Linked DNA regions of Arabidopsis thaliana. The protein of the gene in region 3 interacts with the protein of the main gene of each other region in a pairwise test. Each region holds a gene or a part of one and is shown on either strand. Other genes may lie near its edges.

The links. Proteins that work in one complex are often made in the same cells at the same time.
Region 1: the proteins of RCAR3 (region 3) and HAI3 interact in binary tests that used the Arabidopsis thaliana proteins (3 or more experiments, as listed by UniProt).
Region 2: the proteins of RCAR3 (region 3) and IAA31 interact in binary tests that used the Arabidopsis thaliana proteins (3 or more experiments, as listed by UniProt).

What each region holds. Positions count from the first base shown.
Region 1 is NC_003071.7:12,605,004-12,612,845, reverse strand, and holds HAI3 (highly ABA-induced PP2C protein 3), read right to left. Parts: upstream 4,172-7,842; 5' UTR 3,992-4,171; coding exon 3,623-3,991; intron 3,535-3,622; coding exon 3,217-3,534; intron 3,124-3,216; coding exon 2,722-3,123; 3' UTR 2,496-2,721; downstream 1-2,495. Other genes in the region: SMO2-2 (sterol 4-alpha-methyl-oxidase 2-2), read left to right, coding at 47-76, 706-843, 1,034-1,179, 1,346-1,465, 1,561-1,773, 1,833-1,949, 2,034-2,088; AT2G29370 (NAD(P)-binding Rossmann-fold superfamily protein), read right to left, coding at 5,483-5,665, 5,756-5,862, 5,941-6,157, 6,264-6,471, 6,696-6,787; AT2G29360 (NAD(P)-binding Rossmann-fold superfamily protein), read right to left, coding at 7,725-7,842.
Region 2 is NC_003074.8:6,017,478-6,024,766, reverse strand, and holds IAA31 (indole-3-acetic acid inducible 31), read left to right. Parts: upstream 1-3,619; 5' UTR 3,620-3,726; coding exon 3,727-3,851; intron 3,852-3,948; coding exon 3,949-4,160; intron 4,161-4,258; coding exon 4,259-4,343; intron 4,344-4,431; coding exon 4,432-4,486; 3' UTR 4,487-4,794; downstream 4,795-7,289. Other genes in the region: HYH (HY5-homolog), read right to left, coding at 182-380, 473-659, 733-796; BSH (transcription regulatory protein SNF5, putative (BSH)), read left to right, coding at 5,176-5,225, 5,321-5,415, 5,525-5,619, 5,960-6,031, 6,144-6,191, 6,274-6,357, 6,461-6,499, 6,625-6,707 and 1 more. UniProt on the Arabidopsis thaliana protein: Aux/IAA proteins are short-lived transcriptional factors that function as repressors of early auxin response genes at low auxin concentrations.
Region 3 is NC_003076.8:21,556,968-21,564,925, forward strand, and holds RCAR3 (regulatory components of ABA receptor 3), read left to right. Parts: upstream 1-3,633; 5' UTR 3,634-4,058; coding exon 4,059-4,196; intron 4,197-4,477; coding exon 4,478-4,693; coding exon of another isoform or gene 4,694-4,773; coding exon 4,774-4,986; 3' UTR 4,987-5,742; downstream 5,743-7,958. Other genes in the region: AT5G53150 (DnaJ heat shock amino-terminal domain protein), read left to right, coding at 1-235; FTSH11 (FTSH protease 11), read right to left, coding at 6,056-6,205, 6,315-6,368, 6,464-6,553, 6,754-7,035, 7,125-7,273, 7,402-7,531, 7,803-7,883. UniProt on the Arabidopsis thaliana protein: Receptor for abscisic acid (ABA) required for ABA-mediated responses such as stomatal closure and germination inhibition.

The sequences.
Region 1 (7,842 bases), on a different chromosome or scaffold from region 3:
TCTCCGCCGCGGAGATCCATCGTGTTTTCTACTTCTGTTGGTATCCATGGATTCTCTCGTTGAATCCGGTTGGAAGGTACTTCGTATTCCTCTATCTCGTCGCGTTCCTTTGTATGCGATTCCTACGTTTTTTTTTTTTGTTTTGTTTTCAGAGATTGAATCGTGTTTTTTGTTTCTCGGTCTCTGGCGACTTGAGTGTACTGCATTTATGATACAAGTGTAGGTACGGGATTAGTATCTGCCGTGTTAGGTTGATTTTGTGTTTGTCGTCTGTGGTCCATCGTATTGTATTGTTGTGGTCCCTTTATGTTGAGATTGAATTGGTTTCGTGTCGATTGCGTTGTGGTTTCAGATCTGGATTTGACTGTTCTAGTTACAGATTATTACTGATTTCGTATGTGATCTCTGTTTGTGCTTGTATTTTTTTTTGGAATTTGAGTGGGATTTATGTATTGTTGTTGGAGCTTGGACTAGCTTAGAGGATCTGTGATTGTGATACGTGTTGATAAGCAATAGGTTTTCCTTGAACGTCTTCTTAACTTGCTTTTCTGCGTGAGTGACTGGATGGATGGTGTCAATGATATACAATTGCCTTCAGTTTTCGTGGAATTGAACAAATTTTATCTCCCTTTGGCAATCATGTTTAGCTCTTTAGTTTGACAGTTCTAGCTGTGACACTGACCCTTCTTTGTGGCGATGATGCAGTACCTTGTTACGCATTTCAGTGACTTTCAACTGGCGTGTATTGGGAGTTTTATACTTCATGAAAGCGTGTTTTTCTTGTCTGGACTCCCTTACATTTTCCTAGAAAGGACTGGTTTTCTGAGCAACTACAAAATTCAGGTTTGTCTTTTCTTCTCATGATTCAGTGGTCTTCTAACTAATAGCTTTGTGTGTCTGTTCAAATATAAACTGAATGGAAAGATATCACCAAGTTGTCAGTGTTCTCATTTCCCCAATGGTAATGTCAAAGTGATAACTGGTTTAGCTTGTCTTCTAGATTTATCAAGTACTCTTGTTTGGTCTTTTGCAGACCAAAAGTAATACTCCTGAAGCCCAGGGAAAATGCATTGCTCGACTATTACTTTACCATTGCTGCGTAAACTTGCCCCTCATGATGGCGTCGTATCCTGTATTCAGATTCATGGGCATGGAAAGCAGTTTTCCTCTGCCGTCCTGGTATTATCAGGTTCTTTAGTGCTGAAAGCTTTTTTTGCCTTTGGGTTCTGATGTTAAACTCTTCCAATGGGCAATATATATAAAATGTCAGTGTTGAGCTGCATGAGAAGAACCTGCATTATGTTTGATCTGGTTTATGAAACTATATCTGGTGACGCTCTTGCAGGAAAGTGGTGTCTGCCCAGATCTTATTCTACTTCATCATTGAGGATTTTGTATTCTATTGGGGTCACAGGATCTTGCATACTAAATGGCTCTACAAGAACGTGCACAGTGTGCATCATGAGTAAGCTATCAGTACTCACCATCTTTTTTGTGCTTGACAATGTTAGTTCACTCATGGTCCTCAATAAACAATCTTATGGTATTACTTATATACAGGTACGCGACACCGTTTGGTTTGACATCAGAATATGCTCATCCCGCTGAAATTCTGTTCCTTGGTTTTGCTACCATTGTTGGTCCGGCTCTCACCGGGCCTCACCTGATCACCCTTTGGTTATGGATGATGCTCAGAGTTATTGAGACAGTTGAGGCACATTGTGGTTATCATTTCCCATGGAGCCCCTCGAATTTTCTTCCTCTATACGGCGGGTAAGATAAGACTTCTAACCTGTGATTGCCTTGAAAGAGCAACACCTTAAACCTAACAGATCTTTAATATTAATGTGGGAATCATTTGCTTACAGTGCTGACTTCCATGACTACCATCATCGATTACTCTACACAAAGTCTGGCAACTACTCATCAACGTTTGTTTACATGGACTGGTAAATTATTGAACTCTGTTTCTTACTTTAACAGAAGTCATAACTATAATAAACATGTAAATATGTTTATCTATGTTACTTCAGGATCTTTGGCACCGATAAAGGTTACAGAAAACTTAAGGCCCTAAAAGAAACCTGACAACAAACAAACGTGAAATTCGATTCCCGAGAGAGGTCTTGTTCTCAAAAAACCTTCTTTCTTTTGTTTTGTCTCTACCATTTCCTCAACTTTAGTCATAAGAACATCATTATTTGCTACAATTTGGGTTGTACAATCAAAGCTGCTAGTCTGAAGTCGATTCGATGTTGAAATTTATACGTGACCTCGTTTCTATTGGACTTGTTGTTACTACTGCTTACTGTTTTTCTTATTCTTTAGATACTGCTAATACTCATAATTGCATTTAGAACCTATGATCTACTCTCATGTCTTTGCCTAGCGGCAGAGACTAAGTACCTCTTAAAGTATCTTAATGCCTAAAAGTAAAAGGTATAGTATAGTCTGACAATCTTTTTTAAAGCAAAATGCTTTTACATGTCGACCTTCTTAATTTGATTTGATTTAAGATTATAAGCATACACGAAACAGGATTAGGGTTGACAAGAATAATTCTTATCATTTCTATTAATTAACCCTTTTTCGGGGTTTCCATAAAATCGGGTTAATTTTGTATACAACCAACGTATTCCAAGAATAACCAAAAAGCAAAACTGATATAGAAAGTTAAAGCAAAATTGTCTTCCTCTTCGACTAGTGTCCACTTACGTGTCCTTATCTTCTGAGATCAATCACAACGACACTGACGTTGTCACTACTGTTCCTTGCCAACGCCAGCTTTGTTAGCAATACTGACGCTTCCGTACAAGCCTTGTCCGAAATCGCCGGATCCTCATTATCTTGTCTTCTCCCACCACCACGGAGACACATACGCGCTACAGAGCAGGCGGTCTCGTTTGACACAACATCCCATAAACCATCACTAGCTAGTATGAGGCAGTCATCGTCTCTCCTGTCCGTTATGGTTACCTCCGGCTCGCAACTCACGTAAGGTTTCAAATAGTTGTCTCCTATTGCTCGTGACATTGCTAAGACTCCGAGAACTCTTGGACAGTCCCAATATATGACTCGTCCACCAGCTCCTTCGATTCGATCCAATTCGTCTGGCCGATCAGGCTGTGTTTCATTACAAAGAACACAATCTCCAAGTTAATCCACAAATCCAATCATTGCTTAAATGAAACTGAACATGTTTTGAACGGAACTGACCTTGTGATCGGTTGATAAAGGGACTGGTTTCCCATTGCGGCAGAGAACTGCTCTGGAATCGCCACAATTGGCGACAACGATCTTATCTGGCGTAATGACTGAGACAACAGCGGTTGATCCGACGGAATCACAAGCCGGTGTTTGTAGATCACACTTGCAATTTGCAGTCACGACGGAATCACCCCACGATACAACTTCCTTATCCATGCGTGTGAAGCTACGCTCCATCGTCGTTTTCCATTCTTCTTCATCTTCCATATCTGAACTTAGTTCTTCTTGCACCAGCTTGTGAAGCCTCTCTCTACACCTTGCTGCAACCTAAGGAAAAAAAAAAGATTTCGTATCAGCTAAAACTGAAAACATAGAATTTCGGAAAACGTAAGAATGCATGGTAACGGAGTCGTACGTGGGAACAACCATGGCCGTCATACACACCAAAGTAGTGTTGAGGAAATTCCGAATTCTTCGGAGAAGAAAATGAAGGATGAATTGCCACCGCATCTTCCATCTCTCTTCTTCTACCGCACACCGAAGAAACACCGTATCTTGGACTGGATACGTCGACATTTTGGTCAGAGAAATCCTCCCGAGAGCTTCGAGGAATTGAAGAGTATCTCGTAGCTAAAGCCTCCTGTTTACTACGCTTACAATTCTTCTCCCAATCTTCATGCATCACCGTTTGGAATCTCGGCCTCCGCCGTGAATGTGCCGGCGTTGATTCATAAACCGACGACGGACATGCGTCGGTCACTACTTCGTAACATATCTCGGCCATATCCGGGGAAAAAAACCTTAAACTTTGATGTCTTCAAATGGATTTTGCTCTGTATTTCTGATCAAGAAGAACAAAACTCTTTCTTAGATGTTTCAAGAAATGTTTTCTTTTTTGATGAACTCTTTCAAGAACTGGTGATTCCTGTTTTGGTTGCTTCACTGGTTAATAAAAATGCTCGAAAACCATTCAATTTGAGAAATAATGTCATTACACGTTACTTGCATTCTCTATTTTATACACAAAACCTGCCTCTTCAGAAACAATTTTAAATTCTTTCTATAAAAAAAGTAATCCACGTAAGGCGTCAGTATCGAGTGCGAGATTCGTGGTCCAATCAAATTGAGACGGCACGGATGACGGATCATAGGAAGTTTCCTTTCGCGCCACGATGCTTTTCCCCGCAAGGTAGGTTTTGTTTTCTGTATTTAAATAACTAGAGGAATTTCATTACGTTAGTTTTCACATTTGATTACATGAATAACCTAAGTTTAGGTATAAATCAGTGTTTACTTTCAAAACCTAACAAGTTTAGTGCTAATAATTTATGTTTGTCCCTAGACAGTAAACACGTTAACAAAGAAAACCTTAATAAACTTATATCTGAATTTTTATTATTATTGTCTTGAGAGTCCAGAGAATCATCGGAAATATAATATGTATGACTTATATGACAGTAATCAGCTATGTTGTGATGGCAGTCTGAACAATTATTAAACAAATTTATCATCGACAAAGCAATTTGAATTCTCATCGTCCAAATATCCAAGAAATGCGATAAAGTTTTATATACCCAAGAAGATTAAATAACAAGTTACATATATAGTTTGTTTTTGAATTTAGAAAATTTAAGGAATATTTTGTTTACATGTCTATTATTATGAGTCCTTGAATATGATATATGAGTATGTTTCCAACGACATGTCTTTTAGTTTAGTTGATATATAGAAGAAACTTGTTTTGTGCTATGCGTGAGAATAATAATAATAATAAATTTATATCAAATATATATATATATATATATATAATTATGAAGATAATTCTTTCTTTGTTTTGTGTTATGCGTGAGAATAATAATAATAAATTTATATAAATTAAAAAAAATTATGAACATAATCTTTACTCCTTTAGCAAAAGTAATCTTTTTAGGCTTTTAGCCATAACCCCCTAAAGATAGGGATACTAGAGTTGAAAATCGTACGGTCATCATTACATGACTATATAATCATATATCATAAGTAGAATATATACAATAATTATTTTATATATCAAAAGTCACAATACGATTGGAAACGAACAAACATCAAATGTGAACACAAGTAACTTCTTATCCGATAAGATAAAAGATTGAGTTCTTCGTCCAAACATTAGAAGGCATGAACGGAGTGAGCTCCCTCAACATAAGTTACATATAAAACTTGTATGAATTAATATGCAGTGAAACCACTAATTAATCACATAAATTTAAGCATGAATATATGCATATATACGTGTTTAAGGCAAAGAGAAGCCGTTAATAGTGAAACCTCCATCAACGCAAATGGTTTGACCTGTTATATAAGAAGCTGCGGGAAGACATAGAAATGCAACAAGCGATGATACTTCATTTGCCTCTCCAACACGTCTCAATGGTGTCACACTCTCCACCTTTTCTTTTACATCTTTATCACCGAGGAACTGAAACATTTTCACATAAACTTCGTAAGAAATAGTTAAACCATTTTTTCATACTATAAATGAAATGTATTTTCTTATTCATTGTCTTACATCTTTAGTTGACGGAGTTGTAATGAACCATGGACAAACAGAATTAGCCCTTATATTATCACTCGCCCACTCGCATGCTAAATTTCTCGCCAGCTGATTCATGGCTCCTAGAATGCGTATACATTTATTTAAGTCGCGATAGAAGCAAAGAATCATAAATTGTTCGAGTATGCGTATAATTATACCTTTGGTTGCTCCATAGATTGATGTATTACCCAAATTTACAACTCCAGCCACGGAAGACATGAGCACAATGTTCCCTGAACCAGAGGCTTTCAATAAAGGATGCGCGAGTTGCGAGAAATGGAAAGTTGACTCCAGATTTGTAGCTATTATAAATGAGAACTCTTCTGCTGTACACTCAGTCGTCGGCTTTAGTACACCTATTCCCACATTGGGTACCTATACAAACGAAGCAAACAAAATTCAACATGATTTTGGTCATTGTCGATCCAAGCTCATAGACGAGGAGGAGGAGAAGCTTATATATATACACACACACACTTACGAGGATGCTGAGTTTTCCTTGGAAGAGAGAGGAAACAGTTTCCATGAGTTTCTCTCGCTGGTCACGAGAAGAAACATCGCAAACAGAAGTGGTGACTTGTAACCCTTTTGCTTGCCATTCACGTAAGCTTTCTTGAAGCTGAGTTTCGTCTCTGGCACATGTGTGAACTCTTGCTCCCAACATGGCTAGTTCCTCCACCACAGCTTTTCTATTTATACATCAATATGAATTTATACATATCATTAAGCCTTTGATCTTTTCAGGGGTTGATTTGATTAAACATAGAAATACTATCAAAAGATCCACATAAGTCTATGATTGAGCCGTATTAACAAATAAAACGAAAGTCTATACATGATTGAAATCAGAGCTCAGTTTCGGTACTGAAATTATAGGGAAGTAAGTAATTAAGGTAGAAAAATTGGGACTGACCCGAGGCCTTTAGATCCACCGGTAACAAGAGCAGTCATGCCTTCAAGACTCCATTTAGGTTTGTCTCTCAAGCTTTCCCCTCTCTTTGCCATTTTTGGTTATCAGCCACAGAGCAGATATCTATTCATGGAGATTCTTATTTGTAACTCGGTATAGGAAAAATTATAGACCGTTTATACATATTATAATATCACACGTAACCATGCAAGTGTGTTGTAAATGGGGACAAAATATCGGATTCGACATCATTATTGGATGGTTGGTTGTACCAGTCCAGTCGGTTGAGTATTTAAAACTTCATAATTTTATTAGAACTAAATACAAAGTTCATATTTGAGAGTGGTAAAAAATGAATGTACAATATAAAAAACGAAAAGGATAAATAATAATTAGACATATGCTTAAACCTTCCAATTTACAGGTTTTTTTAGATGTCAACTGTCATTATAAATTCCAAAGTATCTGTGTTTGGATATATTTTGAAGTCATATACAAACTATTTAAATAATAAAAAAGGCACACTTAGCCTTCGTTTCTTCATTTTCTATACAATCATTTTCATATTGAGATACAACAAATAAAAATGTGAGCACCTGACTTTGATATATGGGACAACAAACAAACATCTAGCGTCAAAACGACCAAATTACTTATGGTTTGTGAGGAAGCCTTAGAAGGCATGTATGGAGAGATAGGCAGCTAGCTCTATCAACATTCAACACATCTCGTCTTAATTTATCAATTCATCTCTCCCCTTTGGTGGGTGATTTAGGACCGCAGGTTATAACTTATCAATGTCTTGAGAATGTAAGAACGTTGGTGGCTTCGTAGTAACAAATTATACTATAATTAAAAAAAAATTAGTATACTTGATCGGTTAAAACACAAAGCATGCATATATTGTGGAGAGTTGGATTACATTCCAAACGCCAATTTTTTTTGTTTGTTTGTGTAATTGTGTTTATGTTTACATATCTAAACAAATTGTAAATGTTAAAAAAATAACGTAAAATGAAAACAATCGACGTCTTAAGGCAGAGGCTTGAAAGAGAAACCATTAACAGTGAAACCTCCATCAACACAAATGGTTTGACCTGTAATATAAGAAGCTGCAGGAAGACAAAGAAATGCCACAAGCGATGATACT
Region 2 (7,289 bases), on a different chromosome or scaffold from region 3:
CTAGTTTTTATACCTAATCTCTTCTTGCCTTTTTTCGTTTTTTTTTACTTTATTTTGCAAATCTGAATGACAATGATGCTCAAAGTGAATGTTATTCGAACAAAAAGTGTATACAAACCAAAACCAAAAAAGAAAGAAAGATAATCATACAACACTGAACAATGGATTAAAGGGTAAATATTTAGTGATTGTCATCAGTTTTAGGCCTTGTGTTAATAAGCATTTTACGAAGCATTGTGTTCTCGTTCGTCAAAGTAGAAATCTTCTCTTCGAGCTGGTCATTGTTGTTCTGTAACTCATTAGCTCTTGATTCCAAATCACTCACATACACTTTCTTCCTCTCTCTTGCTTGTTGCGCTGATACTCTGTTCCTCAATAATCTGTAATTTTTCACCACAGTTTCTTTTTTACCATTTCAATTCCACAAATCGAATGCTAAGAAAAAAAAGTTTTTTTACTCATCATTGATTACCTCTTGAGGCTTCTATATTCTTTATCAACAGGGTTTCTTCCACGGCGGCGTTTAGCTGTAGAGACTCCATTTTGAGTCTGGTCAAGCTCCGGATTGTTGACTCCATCGTCGGCGCTGCTGCTTAGAACACATGTTGATCCAGCTGCTTCCATGTCAGGAACCATCAACAACTCCTCATCACTTTCCTCTGAGAATTATACAAACCAATTTCTCTAAACCAAATTAAGTTAAATATTAGATAAGTTTCTTTCAACACCTACCAGTTTTGTGCTTCTTGTGGGAAGAAGACGAACTCGAGTTCCCATTGGGTCGTTGGAGAGACATCAATATCTTTTTGTCTTTTGAGATTTTGCTAAAGACGAGAATAGAGAGGTAAGAGGTTGAAGAGAATATCAAACCAAAGGAAATTGCATCTTTTCTTTCTTCTTTGGGGCCACTCAAAGTCTGCAACTCGTTTCAAACAAAAAAAAAGAGAAAAGTATTGGTTGGCTTATAAAAGAACACGTAGGTTTATGTAAGACCACAAATGCAACTGTTTCAATCCAATGGTGTGTATCTGTGTTTTCTTTTCCACTATATCCCGTTGAACTTATTAATTGATTTATTGTTCTGTTTTGCTTTTAAAGTCTTTGTTCATGATTTCTACGGAAAACAACCTTTAGTGAGTATTCACAGAGCGTGTGGGTTTAGGACAATAATTACTGTCTAGAACCATACAAACGTACTTGCAGACAAAGTCAGAGGCACAACTATGTGTGTGTGTATCTATTTGCATGGCGTAATAGGCATGCATAAACTCATCATGTGGTCATATATCTCGTTTTCTATTTTTTGGTACACAAATAACTCTTTTGTATAAAGACAGCTAACTAATGTTTTGAATTTTTAAATGTTATCTCTTAAAATTAAATTCTACCAATTGTAAATTCAGTCAATCATTCCGAAGCATTTTTTCATGCTTTGTGATTCCGCCATATATTTTCCCATGTTCTTTTTTACGTTTTTCATCATAATTTTAAAGTTTTACGATTTTTTGTTGTTATCAATGAAAATGGACCAAGTAAACTTCTACCGTAATGGTTGCATATTAGATAGTGGACTTATGCGCGCGCGCGGAAACAAAACTTGGCCGGTTGAATCGTCGTCTGCCTGGCATCTAACAGTTTTTTCGAACATTGTCATAATCAATATATTGAGGGATGTTAATCATGAAGTCGTATGGAATGGACGCGGGAAATCACTCATAAACAATGTGAACATTTTATAAGGTTATAAAGAAGAACAAGTTTCATCCTTCTTTTGTATATTTCGACTCATACATATCTTTCTATTCAGGAATAAGTATAAAACATAATATAACATGTGGCATATCGACCGACCAATACATCTTTCCCAACCCATGATCAACCTTCTGATTGTGTTTTAATTTATTCGTCATGAAATGGATCAGAATACTCATGATGAGTTTGTGTATCACTCAAGGGACCCCTTGTCTTAAAATCAACTAAAATCATTTGATGTAACTTTTATACGAAGTACTATCCAAATAATTAATTTTCATAAGCAGCGGACATTCATTTTGTTTGTATGACTATATGATTTTATTATTTGAAGCTGTATGCAAACGTGGAGATATGATTGCATCTTTGTCTATGCATGAACATGCCACGTTAATTTAGGAGTACATATCATGATATTGATCTCTCTTGCTATAACTTTTTGGCACAATACTATTGCATGCCTCTCTATATTACTTCAACAAAACGTTTAAATTTACCATGGTTAGAACTTAGAAGTAATCGAGCTGCAAACCATGGTGATCATATTTTTTCTCGTTCGCATGCTCGGTCTTAATATATTGAGAGTTATGGCCAAAATTTGAATACCATTTTAAGAAACTTCAGAAAATCAGGAGTTTGATTATTATCTTTGGTTCTTACTTACTTCAACGAAAACTAATGACAAAACTCTTTTAAGTCGAGGTATGCGAGTAATAACTCCTTGGACATATTTTTTTGATAAAAGTTTAATTGATTATAGACTTATAGTAGTCTTAATTATTATTATAAGTATAAAGAGGAGTAAACATTCATCATTAGACTACTAGACATTATAAAGTTATATATATCGAAATTCTAACAAGAAGGATCCCTAGAGACCAGACATGCATGTCCAAAGACAGATCGTATAATAGCTAATAGGAGTCTTATCGATCCAACATCCAAGGTAGGCTTTATTACAAAGTAACTATTAGAGTGCACTTCCCATGATGATTCTAGAATCTAATATTATTATCAATACAGCCAATGAGCATTATGTGATGTAACAATTTATGTCTACTTTATATTTTGAAGTTATCATAAATCAACGAATTCTATTTTGATTTTCAAAAAAGAGTAAAAGATTTGGGCTTCTAAGAGAGACAATCCACAAAGCTAAAGAGACATTAACAGGAAACGTATAGTTAAAGAAAAGAACACTGTCTGCTCCACAAAAACAATATACACAAAACTCTTCAAGTCTACCTTATTTTTATTGGTTCTGCAATTTTCAATGGTCTGTTACATTAATGTGTCATAAGAGACAATTGAGTTTTCTTATCAACAGAAGGGTCTAAAAAATTGATCCCCCAAGTTCATAGTCTATAGACTCAGTTTTTTTCTTTCAAATATTGATGTGTAAGAAAGTGAAAGTGATGTGATGCTCTGTTTCTGTTTACGGCTAGACAATAAAGCCTTTTTTGGCCCTTATCTCTCCTAATTAAAGAATCTGAGCAGTTGAGAAATTAAAATCAAAGCCTTAACAGATTAACTCCAACATCATTTAGACACACTTTCCTTGGATACCACCTTTTTACGGAAACTTCGAATCTTACATGTAAACAAATCTCAAAACCATAATTTCACATTTTTACTACTAACTAACTCCAAAGATCTAAACCCATGAATTAAGTATCTAATCGGGTAATTATTACAGTGGTTTTCAGAAATCAATGTGTGTTCATATTTAGAAGGTTGAAAGTTCATAGTTAAATGTGGGGAACCTTATGTTCCTATTATTTATTTATATTAAATTTCAAAGTCGATTAAATCAATTTTTAAATTCAAAATCTATGCAATAGAATCACCTACTAGTCCTTTTTTGTTTAACTAGACAGAGAGAAATAGAAATAGAGAGAGAGAGACATGAAGAGCACTCTCAATAGAGAAGAGAAGGAAGCATGAAGCTAGCTCTGCAGCTTCAAGGTCTCATTAATGGAGGTCTCTAACTCTTGTTCTTCATTTTCTTCATCCTCTGTCGACAGTACTAAACCTTCTCCTTCTGAATCTTCTGTTAATCTCTCCCTTAGTCTCACATTTCCTTCTACTTCTCCACAAAGGTCTTATTCACATCACTTCTCTGTTTTTTCCTATGTTCTGTTTTTGCTCTGTTTTCTTTTGTTCACATTTGTGTTTTAAATCTTTATTTTTTTGTAGAGAAGCAAGACAAGATTGGCCACCGATAAAGTCTAGATTAAGAGATACACTAAAGGGTCGTCGTCTTCTTCGTCGTGGTGATGACACTTCTCTCTTTGTTAAGGTTTATATGGAAGGTGTTCCCATTGGAAGAAAACTCGACCTTTGCGTATTCTCAGGCTACGAGAGTCTATTAGAAAATCTCTCTCACATGTTCGATACTTCAATCATCTGTAAGTAATTAATGAACAACACATAATTCCGTAAAAACAACATTCAACTAAATTCAAACAGTTTGAAGTATATCCATGCATTGTCTTGGCTATAACAGGCGGTAATCGAGATCGAAAACATCATGTTTTGACATATGAAGACAAGGATGGAGATTGGATGATGGTCGGAGATATTCCATGGGAGTATGAATCTTATATCTTGATCTTACATTGGTATAATTTCCTCGGTTATAGCTATTCTCTAATTTTTGAAATCGATGTTTTTGTTTAGTATGTTTCTTGAAACCGTGAGAAGACTAAAGATCACGAGACCGGAGAGGTATTAAAACTTGGATCGGTCAAGGCTGTGATTGCGCAGTTACGAGACGTGTAAGATTTAGGCATTGATGAAGAGACTTGAGGCGGGACGGAGCTATTGCTGCATATTGCAACAAAGGCCTTGAAGAAGTTGGAGAATTGATTGATGCATATATTTATTTATATGACACCTTTGAGTGTGTTTTTTCTTATAAATAAATCACAATATCCAAGACTTCTCTTTTTTGTTCTGAATAATAATAATGCAAAGATTTTTTATATGTTTGTAATCGTGTGTTTCTTCGAATGTGTTACATGACTAGGAAAAAAGTACACGAACGTTGTTATGGGGAGCACGAACATGGAATAGAGGAACGTTGTCAGGAAGAGAATGATTCTCTTTGATCTGCCGGCAGCCGTCTCGTTGGTTGTCACCAATGTACAATTTTAATGTTGAGCCCATTTAAAGCCCACTAAATGACTAACAAGCTCGTTTAAAGCCCAAATGCTGCAATTGATCGTAGGATCGGATCCAGATAATTCGTCCCAAAATGGGAAAATTCCAAATTAGAGGTGAAATGTGTAAAGACATTAGAATATAAGGGTGATTCTGAAATAAATTAAGCTAGCGCCGGAAAAAGATCGAGAAATTGAAATTTCCCACACTCTCTCGCTGACTCTCTTCGAAACTCAATTTGTGAAATTTGGGGGTTTAAGGATGAAGGGTTTAGTGTCTACTGGTTGGAAAGGTCCCGTCAAGTTCAGGATGTAAGTTTCGTCGCTTCCTCTACTTTGTTTGTTTTGAAATCGAAATCGAGTTCATGTGTTTTTGTTTTTTCTGATGAATCGATTTGTAATCGGAGCTATAGGCCCACTGCTGAAAACTTGGTACCTATTCGATTGGACATTCAATTCGAAGGTCAGCGTTACAAAGATGCTTTCACTTGGAACCCTTCAGGTTTCTCTCTTAAAAACCCTACCTTTTTTTTTGTTTTCCATCTTCTCGCATCTTATTACAGTAGCAGTGTATGTGATTCACTGATTCTTGTTTTTGGTTTTGGATACAGACCCGGATAATGAAGTCGTTATCTTTGCCAAAAGAACTGTTAAAGACTTGAAACTTCCCTATGCATTTGTCACTCAGATTGCCCAATCTATTCAGGTTGTTTCTAAACTAGTTCACACTGACCTATCTTTAGTTTTTCTTCTGCTCTGATTTTGTTGTTAGTTCTTTTGCTTGTCATAGAGATGAGCTTAAATTTAAGGTCACCTATTAGTCTTAAACCAATCACACTTTCGACTTATTGTTTTTAACTCTTTAGGTTTTTTTACTCGAGAAGAGGCCTGTTTATAGCATTGTACTTTGGGATGTATATCTGTAAGACTGTGCTTTTGTGATGAATGTACTCTTGCTTCAGTTATGTTCTGTTCTGTTTTTGTAAGTATTGGAATAATTTCTTCAGAAATCTCTACTTACATTGGTCAACTTCCTGCTTTATCAGTCTCAGCTCTCAGACTTTCGGGCTTATGAAGGACAAGACATGTACACTGGTGAAAAAATCATACCAATTAAGGTTTTATGACGCTAGATATCCTTATCCCTCTCTCTTTTGTCCATGAGTGATTTGTTGGAAAAAAAGAAGTTCTAGAAGCTGATAAGCTATCTTTCTTTCTTTTTTGTGCCAGCTTGATCTCCGAGTTAACCATACTCTCATCAAGGATCAGTTCTTATGGGTGAGAATACTTGGTGATTTTGAACAATTTCAACTATTGTTTGTACTCTTTTTCTCAGTGCAGCTTGATTGCCGTTTTGCAGGACCTAAACAATTTTGAGAGTGATCCTGAGGAATTTGCAAGAACCTTGTGCAAGGATTTAGGTGTTGAAGACCCTGAAGTTGGAGTAAGATAACCACTCAATTTTTTACATTTCATTATCTGAACTAATGAACCTAAGTTTCAAACGTTTGATACAAGTGATTTTTGGTTTCTCCTTCTCTCTGAAGCCTGCTGTTGCCTTTGCAATAAGGGAACAACTTTACGAGGTTAAAACTTTGATTGTAACTTTAAGCTACTCTCTCTGTATTTCTGTATACTCTATATATGTTTTCTATTTTGAACAAGAATGCCAAACTTACTGAGTTACCATGTCGTTGTTTTTGCTTGCCAGATTGCAATTCAAAGTGTGGCTTCAGCTAGGGAGAGTAGATTAAGCAAGAAAGGCCGCAGAGGATCTGATCATGGTTCAGCGAGGTATGTTCACGTTGCCCCTATTTGTCTATCCAAGTTACCTTGTGGTAATATTAGAGCCTAGCTCAAAAAATTCTAAAATAACTTTCCATCTTATATGTGCAGCAAGGCAAGTGGCCTGTCAATGGACTTAATGAAGTTATTCAGTTTTAAGTCCAGTGTAGTTCGGTAAGTGATTTTCTTACCCACTTAATGCATACATTTTCTCTGTTGCATTGTCTTCTTAAGATCTGTTGGACGACTGACTTCTAGCAGCTAGATCGTTTATAAGATAAGTTAACTTTGCGACACATCCTGAGCGTTTTTCTTACACATACTCTTGAATGCCACCTCTTCATGCATTATATCATTTGATAGTAGATTATCCCAATATTTGGAGCTGGTCCCTACTGAGATTGTTCTAATAGTAATTTCTGGTGATGTTACATGTTGTTATTGAACATAGAAAACCGAATCACTAGGTTGGAAATTGTTTGATTACAAAATAAACTCTGTGGAAATTGAAGAAGTTCTCTTCCTGCATTGCTTATCACTAAATGGGAGTTTTTCAAAAAATAAGATTTATGGACACGAACAAATTTGACT
Region 3 (7,958 bases):
TCTTACAGGGAAAGAAGCTGATAACGCACCGGAAGGTTTTCTGGAACTAGACCCTGCTGCAACTCCTTGTGCATTCTCTTCAGAGAACGCAGAGGCGGATGAGAAAAGTGAAGCTGTGAAAGAGAATGAGCAAGGTGAAGCCGTGAAAGAGAATGAGGAAAGTGAAGCTTTGAAAGAGAATGAGGAAAGTGAAGCTGTGAAAGAGAATGAAGAAGTGGGTATGGATCTAGATTAGGGGGGTATGAAGGTAGTAGCAGTCAGTACAGTGTACAATGGAGGAAGAAACATATCGTATCATCTCATTAGGGCACAGGACTAATCAATGTCAGGTCTGATCTTTTGCTTTTTTCTATTTTTTCTTTCTTTTGTTTAAGGTTGACCCAGAAAGTAGCCATATTTTGGCATAAGAAACTATCTATACCGGAAAAATTAACCTGAGTATTTCGAATATTTTTTGGGGGGGTCAATGTACAATCTTTTTTGGTATTTTGGTATTTACTCAATAGACCAGAAAGAATCTTGTAAGAACTCAGTTTGGGATTCGAATATATATATGGTGGTTATGGTTATTTGTTACTTTTTTTATCTTTGAAGCATTCATTTTGAAGTTCATTGTCATGTTTAGTGAATTTGGTGGTTGTGAATTTGTGATTGGCCAAACCGGTCCATTTTGAGACCAGCCCATTTAAGCATGCACCGACTTGGTCCTTGTTTTAGAATTTGTGCCTCATATATGCAACTGATATCTCTCAATCTGGTTAAGTTTGTTTCTTGTCAGCGTCTTCTTATCATTTACTTAGGCATCAAACTTTTGTCGGCATGCCATTGTGTTTGAGTAAGAGGCCAACTTTGATATTTCAAGATAAATTTGTGCCTCCTATATGCAACTGAGATCTCTGTTTCAAAGCTACAACGTTCTCTGTTTTCGTAAAAAGGACTTTAACAGCGAACTTTTAGAAATTGTAGACTAGTAGTGAGAAATTTTTGACTCACATCATCTTTTTCTCATGTATCTGAATAAAGAAGAAGTGTGAGATTTTGATTCATAAGCCATTAATGGTGTTCACGTTTCTATAGCTGAAATGGTCAAAAACAAAAGATAGATGCAACACATGATCCTCACTTGTCTCTTTATTATGAGTTTAATTTTTTTCTTTCTATTCTCATCTCTTCCACACCTTTTGTTTGTAGGTCCACTTCTCTCTCTCTTTTTCTCATCTTCTTTAATATATTTAATTGGATAATACTATTTCTATATATATAATCGTCGTTGTCATACTATTTATACTAATATCGACACATGAAGTGAATCTAAACATTCCCACTTTACAAAGGTGATTGTCCTTTTACATCCAATCAATCGACTTACTATTTATGAGATACTCACTTCTTTGTCCTTAATGTAAGATATTAAGGCTCTTGAGTGATAGAAATCAAACAAGTGTTTTGGTTGTTTTGTTTATGCTAATGAATGAAGTATGGTCTATGTTGATTGAAAGGATAATATCTAAGTATAGATATTTCATGGTGGTAATGTCTAAACTTGAAATGATGGATTTATATAACTTTATATATGCAACCAGCAAGCAAACAAGAGCATATACATAAAGTTATTTATTAGCAGAGAGCTTCCTATTTGCTCAGAGAGTCATCAGTCTTACATGCCAATGATGTCAGGCACTGAGAGTCGGGTTGCAAATGGAAGGCAAACTCAACACCTTCCTTGACCACACTCAAAATCTCCGATATACATTCCTGAGAGCCCACCTGCAAGCTCCAAGCCCAATCTTAAAAAGAAACTATGGGTATCCAATTTTTTTTTTTTGTGTACTTTAATCTTGAGGTAGTAGTATTTTCGAGAATACTTTAGCACGTTACAAAGTTAGCAACGAATTTTCTTTTTCTAGATATGACTTATAAGAGCCAAACCTTTTTATGTTATAGAAATCTTTGTCACTTTGAGATACTTTTATTCAGGATTTAATAAAGAGTGTTGGATAAAGCACGTGGGACCTTTTGCTCTCTCGAGATTGGCTCTTCGAGTCAGGAAAAGTTAAGACTGTGAAGCAAACCCTATATATGATACTGTATACAATATATTTTTTGGATAAAGGATTGTGTAAATTAAATGATCAAACTATATACTTACTATTCTGGCCTTAGTGGTTATAAGATACTAATATTATACTGTAAATGATCAAAACAAGATACTATTGTCAGAATGCGAAAAAATAAAGCGAAGTCCAACTTAATAGTTTACGAACTTTTACTTCATATTATGAGTCGAATGAGAGTGAATACTGGAATTGGTGATGATGCAGAAAACCGGATTAGACGAAACAAAGAGAACATAATACAAATCATTGGTATGGAACTGACAAAACGTACGAAACAATCGATGTTAAATGGTTAGAATAAAATTTGGATGATAACCATAATAACTGCAGTGCATGTATAATCATTAAATTTTAGCTATTTTTAATACTTGGAATAATAGATGTTTACTATTTTTATCATATACCTAAAGAAGTTCTTGTAATTTGTACTTAGTACCTGATTTGTCGTTCTAATCCTAAAAAAAGATTTGGTCCTTTGTAGTTTGCTTCAAAGGCCCCGAATCTGCATTGATCATGGTCTGGCTCGGGGGTGTTAAGCACACTTTTAACTAGTGATTATATGTCTAATTGGGACATCAATATACCTCCATGCACCTAGTAATGTGACCATCCGTATAATATGTGTACTATCTCTTCTTCAGCTAAAGGTTAACGAGCATAATCTGGTTAAGCCCTATGTTTGGTTTGCATTATAACAATCTCTCTGAAATTTTGTAGTATTTTCATCAATTTAAATTAGTATATTTTCGACAATTTGAATTGTTCTTTGAGTCTGATCACAGTCAAGTACACGAACTATATGCTGATCTGATCGAATTCATTCTACTATATACACACACATACACAAACATTTTACAGTACACCACTAATACTATAATCCCAATAACAAGAAAACCTAAAATATAAGTACACATTAACAAAAGAAAACAGTTTGCAAGTTATTAAGTGGTTTTTGGATTTGGTTTATAGTTTTTAGATTTTTGCATTAATTATATATATATATATATATATATATATATATATATATATATATATATATATTTGAAACTAAATATGAAAAAGTTATAGCGTTAAAAAGTGAAAAACCAATGAAACATAGATTTTAGATTTCCTTTAAAAATCTAGATTCCTTATTTTTATAAGGAAAACCATTTCTCCCAATCTTAATTGGCTATAAAGTAGATTTTTGGAAAAAACTTAAGCCATAAACAATTTCAAAAAATCTATAACCATTTCAAAATCTTTAATCCTTTTTTTTTTTTGTCAAAACAAGTCTTTTATCCAAATGAAAAAGCACCCAAGAAAAAAAAAAAAAAAACTATCCAATAATTGAGTCAGCTCTCATAGGCTTAAACAATACTTTAAGGATCAACATTAAATAATTACCACACTTGAGGGGTAAAACTAAAAACGGTAAATAAAACACAGAAAAACGACAACGAGGGGCAAAATCGAAAATAAAGAGAAAATAGTGGGATAATAGAAGAAAGCATCCAATGAGAGTAGTGAAATCAGAGAAAGACCTTTACTCCTTTAGTCCAATACCATCCAATCAATCTTTTTCTTTTTTTTTATAAAAATCTCTCACTGAGTCTTTTTATTTAAATATTATAAAAAGGAGAGAGAAAAAAAGTTTGTTGGAGGATTCGTCTCTCTCTCTCTCTCTTTCTCTTTCTCTCATCTTCTTCTTATCTCCCTCCAAAGACGGCGACTGTATAATCTATCATTTCTTCACAGTAACGCTTTCATCGGAAGATCTCGCCGGAAAAAAACTTCTCTCTGAGATCAGATCTCTTACGATTCTCAGCTCAATCTTATCTTTTCCTTTGTTGTGCTGCTTTTCACTCTCTTCTGCGCGACGAATTTGGCCTTGTTTTTTGTTTGTTTGTCGTATCCGACGCGGAGGTATTGAGAAACCGTGGCTTAAGACGGAGGAAGAAGATGGAAGCTAACGGGATTGAGAACTTGACGAATCCGAATCAGGAAAGAGAGTTTATAAGGAGACATCATAAGCATGAGCTTGTGGATAATCAGTGTAGCTCTACGCTTGTTAAACATATCAACGCTCCTGTTCATATTGTAAGCTTCTCCCTTCTTCTTCTTCCTTCATGCGCTCTGATTTTCTCTGTTTAAGTTAATCGGTTCTTCTTATTGTTGATTCAATCCAGAATTTGAAATCTCTCTCTATTTTCATCGATTGTTGATCTTACTGATGAAGAATCGATTGGTTTCTAATTATTGAAAGCTTACATAGCATTTGTGTAATCCCAATCTGAGTTTGTTTGATCTGGTTTTGCTTTATTGGAAAAAAAAGCTCCCAAAAACGCTTATGGATTAGTTTGAATCTCTCTGGTGAATAGGTGTGGTCACTTGTGAGAAGATTTGATCAGCCACAGAAGTATAAGCCGTTTATCAGTAGATGTGTGGTGAAAGGAAACATGGAGATTGGTACAGTAAGAGAAGTTGATGTGAAATCTGGACTACCAGCAACTAGAAGCACTGAGAGATTGGAGTTACTTGATGACAATGAGCATATTCTCAGTATCAGAATCGTTGGTGGTGATCATAGACTTAAGGTAATCAATGAATCAAAAGGTTCGTTTTCTGTTTACAGTGAATCAAAGACTTATATGTTCTATATTGTTTTTGGATTTAGAACTATTCTTCAATCATCTCTCTTCACCCCGAGACTATAGAAGGAAGAATAGGAACACTTGTGATTGAGTCATTTGTGGTTGATGTACCAGAAGGAAACACAAAGGATGAGACTTGTTACTTTGTTGAAGCTTTAATCAAATGCAATCTTAAATCTTTAGCTGATATCTCTGAACGTCTTGCGGTTCAAGACACGACAGAATCGAGAGTCTAAAGATCAAAGGAGTAAGAAACTATTGAATCAGAGAGATTTTGGTTGCCATGGATGAAGCTCTCAAAGGGAAAAAGAGAGAGTGGGTGAGTTTCTTTGAGGATGGACAAGGCAAAAAAAGTATCATCATTTATCCAGTTACATAATAAGTTTCTCATTTGCTATTTTTGGGGTCATTTCACTTTCAAACCCTCTTTTTAATTTCATGTGTCTAATTTAATGAATGTGTTTTTGGTTTCTTCTCTATAGAACCAAAATATGATTTTGGAGTTTAGCTTTAGCAACTTGCAGGAATCTTTTTACAATTTGCAGAGAAGACATGTTAAAAGTGTGTGTGATCATGGGGTTCCACTCTCTTCTTCCTTTTTTAACACTTTTAGTTGCACCCATAAAGGCCACACACCGTCTTTCTTATATTTATTTTTTCTACTTTTAAAGATGAACCAATAGGGTTTGTGAGATGTGAAAAATCTCCACAAAGGACCATTAAGGAAAGAGATCTTTGTTGTTGTTTATAGATTTTGTCTTGACTTGTGATTGGGGAAACACACTTTAGCTCCATTAGCTGTAAAAAGTTTTGTATACTATTTTTACAATGCCAAAGTGTTTCTGTTTCTTTTTTCCTAAATTACAGTAGTGGATAAATATTCGAATCGGTCACATTGACAGGTGGTATCATTAGAATTGCTTCTATATGTTTTCTTTCAATTTTGTTCCAAACAATACATGTAATTTCATCAGAGGACCTTGTAAGCTGCAATAAGATTCATTGGCTTTCAAAATCACATCAGAGAATAAAGACAACAATTATTACTTTCTTTTCAATGTTGTTTTACATTTTTCTTCATAGAATTGAACAGAATGTCAAAAAGGGCAAAAGGTTCAAGGTCGAAGCGAAAACTAATGAGCTAATGAAATAAAAACTACAATAATTTTGTAACATGAGATCAATAATTTCATATGTTTTTCTTTTGGTTGTTGTTGTAGAAGCTATGGGAGATTTACTCTGTACAAAGCTTTGAATCTCCCTTTTTCACCCAAAGAAGTGTGTTTATGGTAATGAATGATGTGATTAGGCCAATACCAAGTCTCCTTCTTCTTGTTGTTGCTCTTCAAATTTCTCGCCTTCCTGCTTTGGAAGGAGAATACGCTTTATGTCCTCTGCGGTTAGCGTTTCATACTCTAGAAGTGCGTTTGCTAACGTGTGTAGCTGCTTCTCATGCTGGGGAAACACACACACACACACACACACACACACACACAAAATCGAAGTGAGATTAAACAATTTTGATCCAGTAAAAAATGCGACTATCTGTAAACTTGGCACAAACCCGTTTCAAGAGAGATTTCACTCTCTCATATGCTTCTCTAAGAAGCTTCACAACCTATACATGTATCAACACCACCAGATGAATGATTAGATTTAGGACCAATGGGATTTGAATGAGGGAACTAAAAAAAGTGAATAGAGAGTCTCTACCTCGGCATCAATGCGTGATTGCATATCAGAGCTTGGTCTTTCTTTTATATGAACTGGTCCTATTGCCTCACTCATCCCACAACTCGATACCTTCCATTAAAAAGAAAAGCATTACTACAACTACAACAAGAGGTAAGATCCATCTTCTCGCATTAACTTGTAAGTTCACCTTAAGGATCTCAGAGACTAAGTCCCTCAAACCTCATTCCAGAAAACTAAAAGAACCAAAGGCTAACTCTTTTGATAAACCAGAAAAAAAGAAGCAATTAAGCACATGTACATGAGGTTACCATGTATTGTGCAAGTTCAGTGGCCTGTGACAGATCGCTACTCGCTCCAGTGGTAATATGGTCCAAGCCAAAGATGAGCTCCTCTGCAACTCTTCCTCCCATACATACATCGAGACGAGCTAATAACTGCCTCTTGCTCACTGATGTTTCATCGTTTGAAGGTAACTGTGTAACCATTCCCAATGCAGATCCACGTGGCATTATAGTCGCTTTGTGGATCGGGTGCGCACCTTTCGTATTTAAAGCGACAATAGCATGACCACTCTCATGGTATGCAGTGAGCTAAAGAGGCAAAGAAGTAAGTGACAGGTCATATCATGTTTGAACTCCACATCCAAACACTTCTATGTTGTTAAGATATTGGAATATACCTTTTTTGAGTCCTCTGATACGAACATTGTCTTCCTCTCTGTGCCCATGACAATTCGGTCCTTTGCGAATTCCAACTGTTCAGAAGATAACTTCTCAGCACCTTCAACAGCTGCTTTTATGGCAGCAATATTTACCAGGTTTGCAAGATCTGGAAAAAAGTTTGGTGAGATTGGGAAAAATGTGGTGAGTCATTGAATCTTCATAGGTTAGTGACAAAAGAAGACACTTCTGAATTTCAGGGTGACTAAACTGTAGTTATAGATTTAAGAAACTCACCAGCACCATTGAATCCAGGAGTTCCACGAGCAATTGCTTTAACATCAACATCTTCTGACATAGGTTTGCCTTGGAGGTAGAGTTCCAAAATCTCTTCGCGTCCACGGACATCCGGACTGGGTACGACAATCTAAAATCAAATCTGTCAGTAATTCATTTTCCTTTCGAAAAATCTGAAAAATTGTTCGTAACATAGCAGTGCACCTATCTAAATACTGTTCAAAAAGATACAGATGAAAAAACATTGAACACCAGATGCGCAAAGTGACAAAGTCAAAAACAAATCCTCAAAACAGGGGGTTTCTCAAGACAAGAAAAAGGTATCAGTTCTTCGTATTCCAGTAACTCTTATCTGCAATACTAATACGTCTCAGAAGAATAACAAGAAAATGAAAACTTACATGTCTATCAAATCTACCCGGTCTTGTCAGAGCTGGATCAAGTATATCAGGCAAGTTTGTTGCAGCCATAACTATTATTCCCTGCATAACCAAAATAGAAAGCAAAGTACTATTATATTCCTGCAAACTAGCGGAAGTAATCACAAGATACACTAC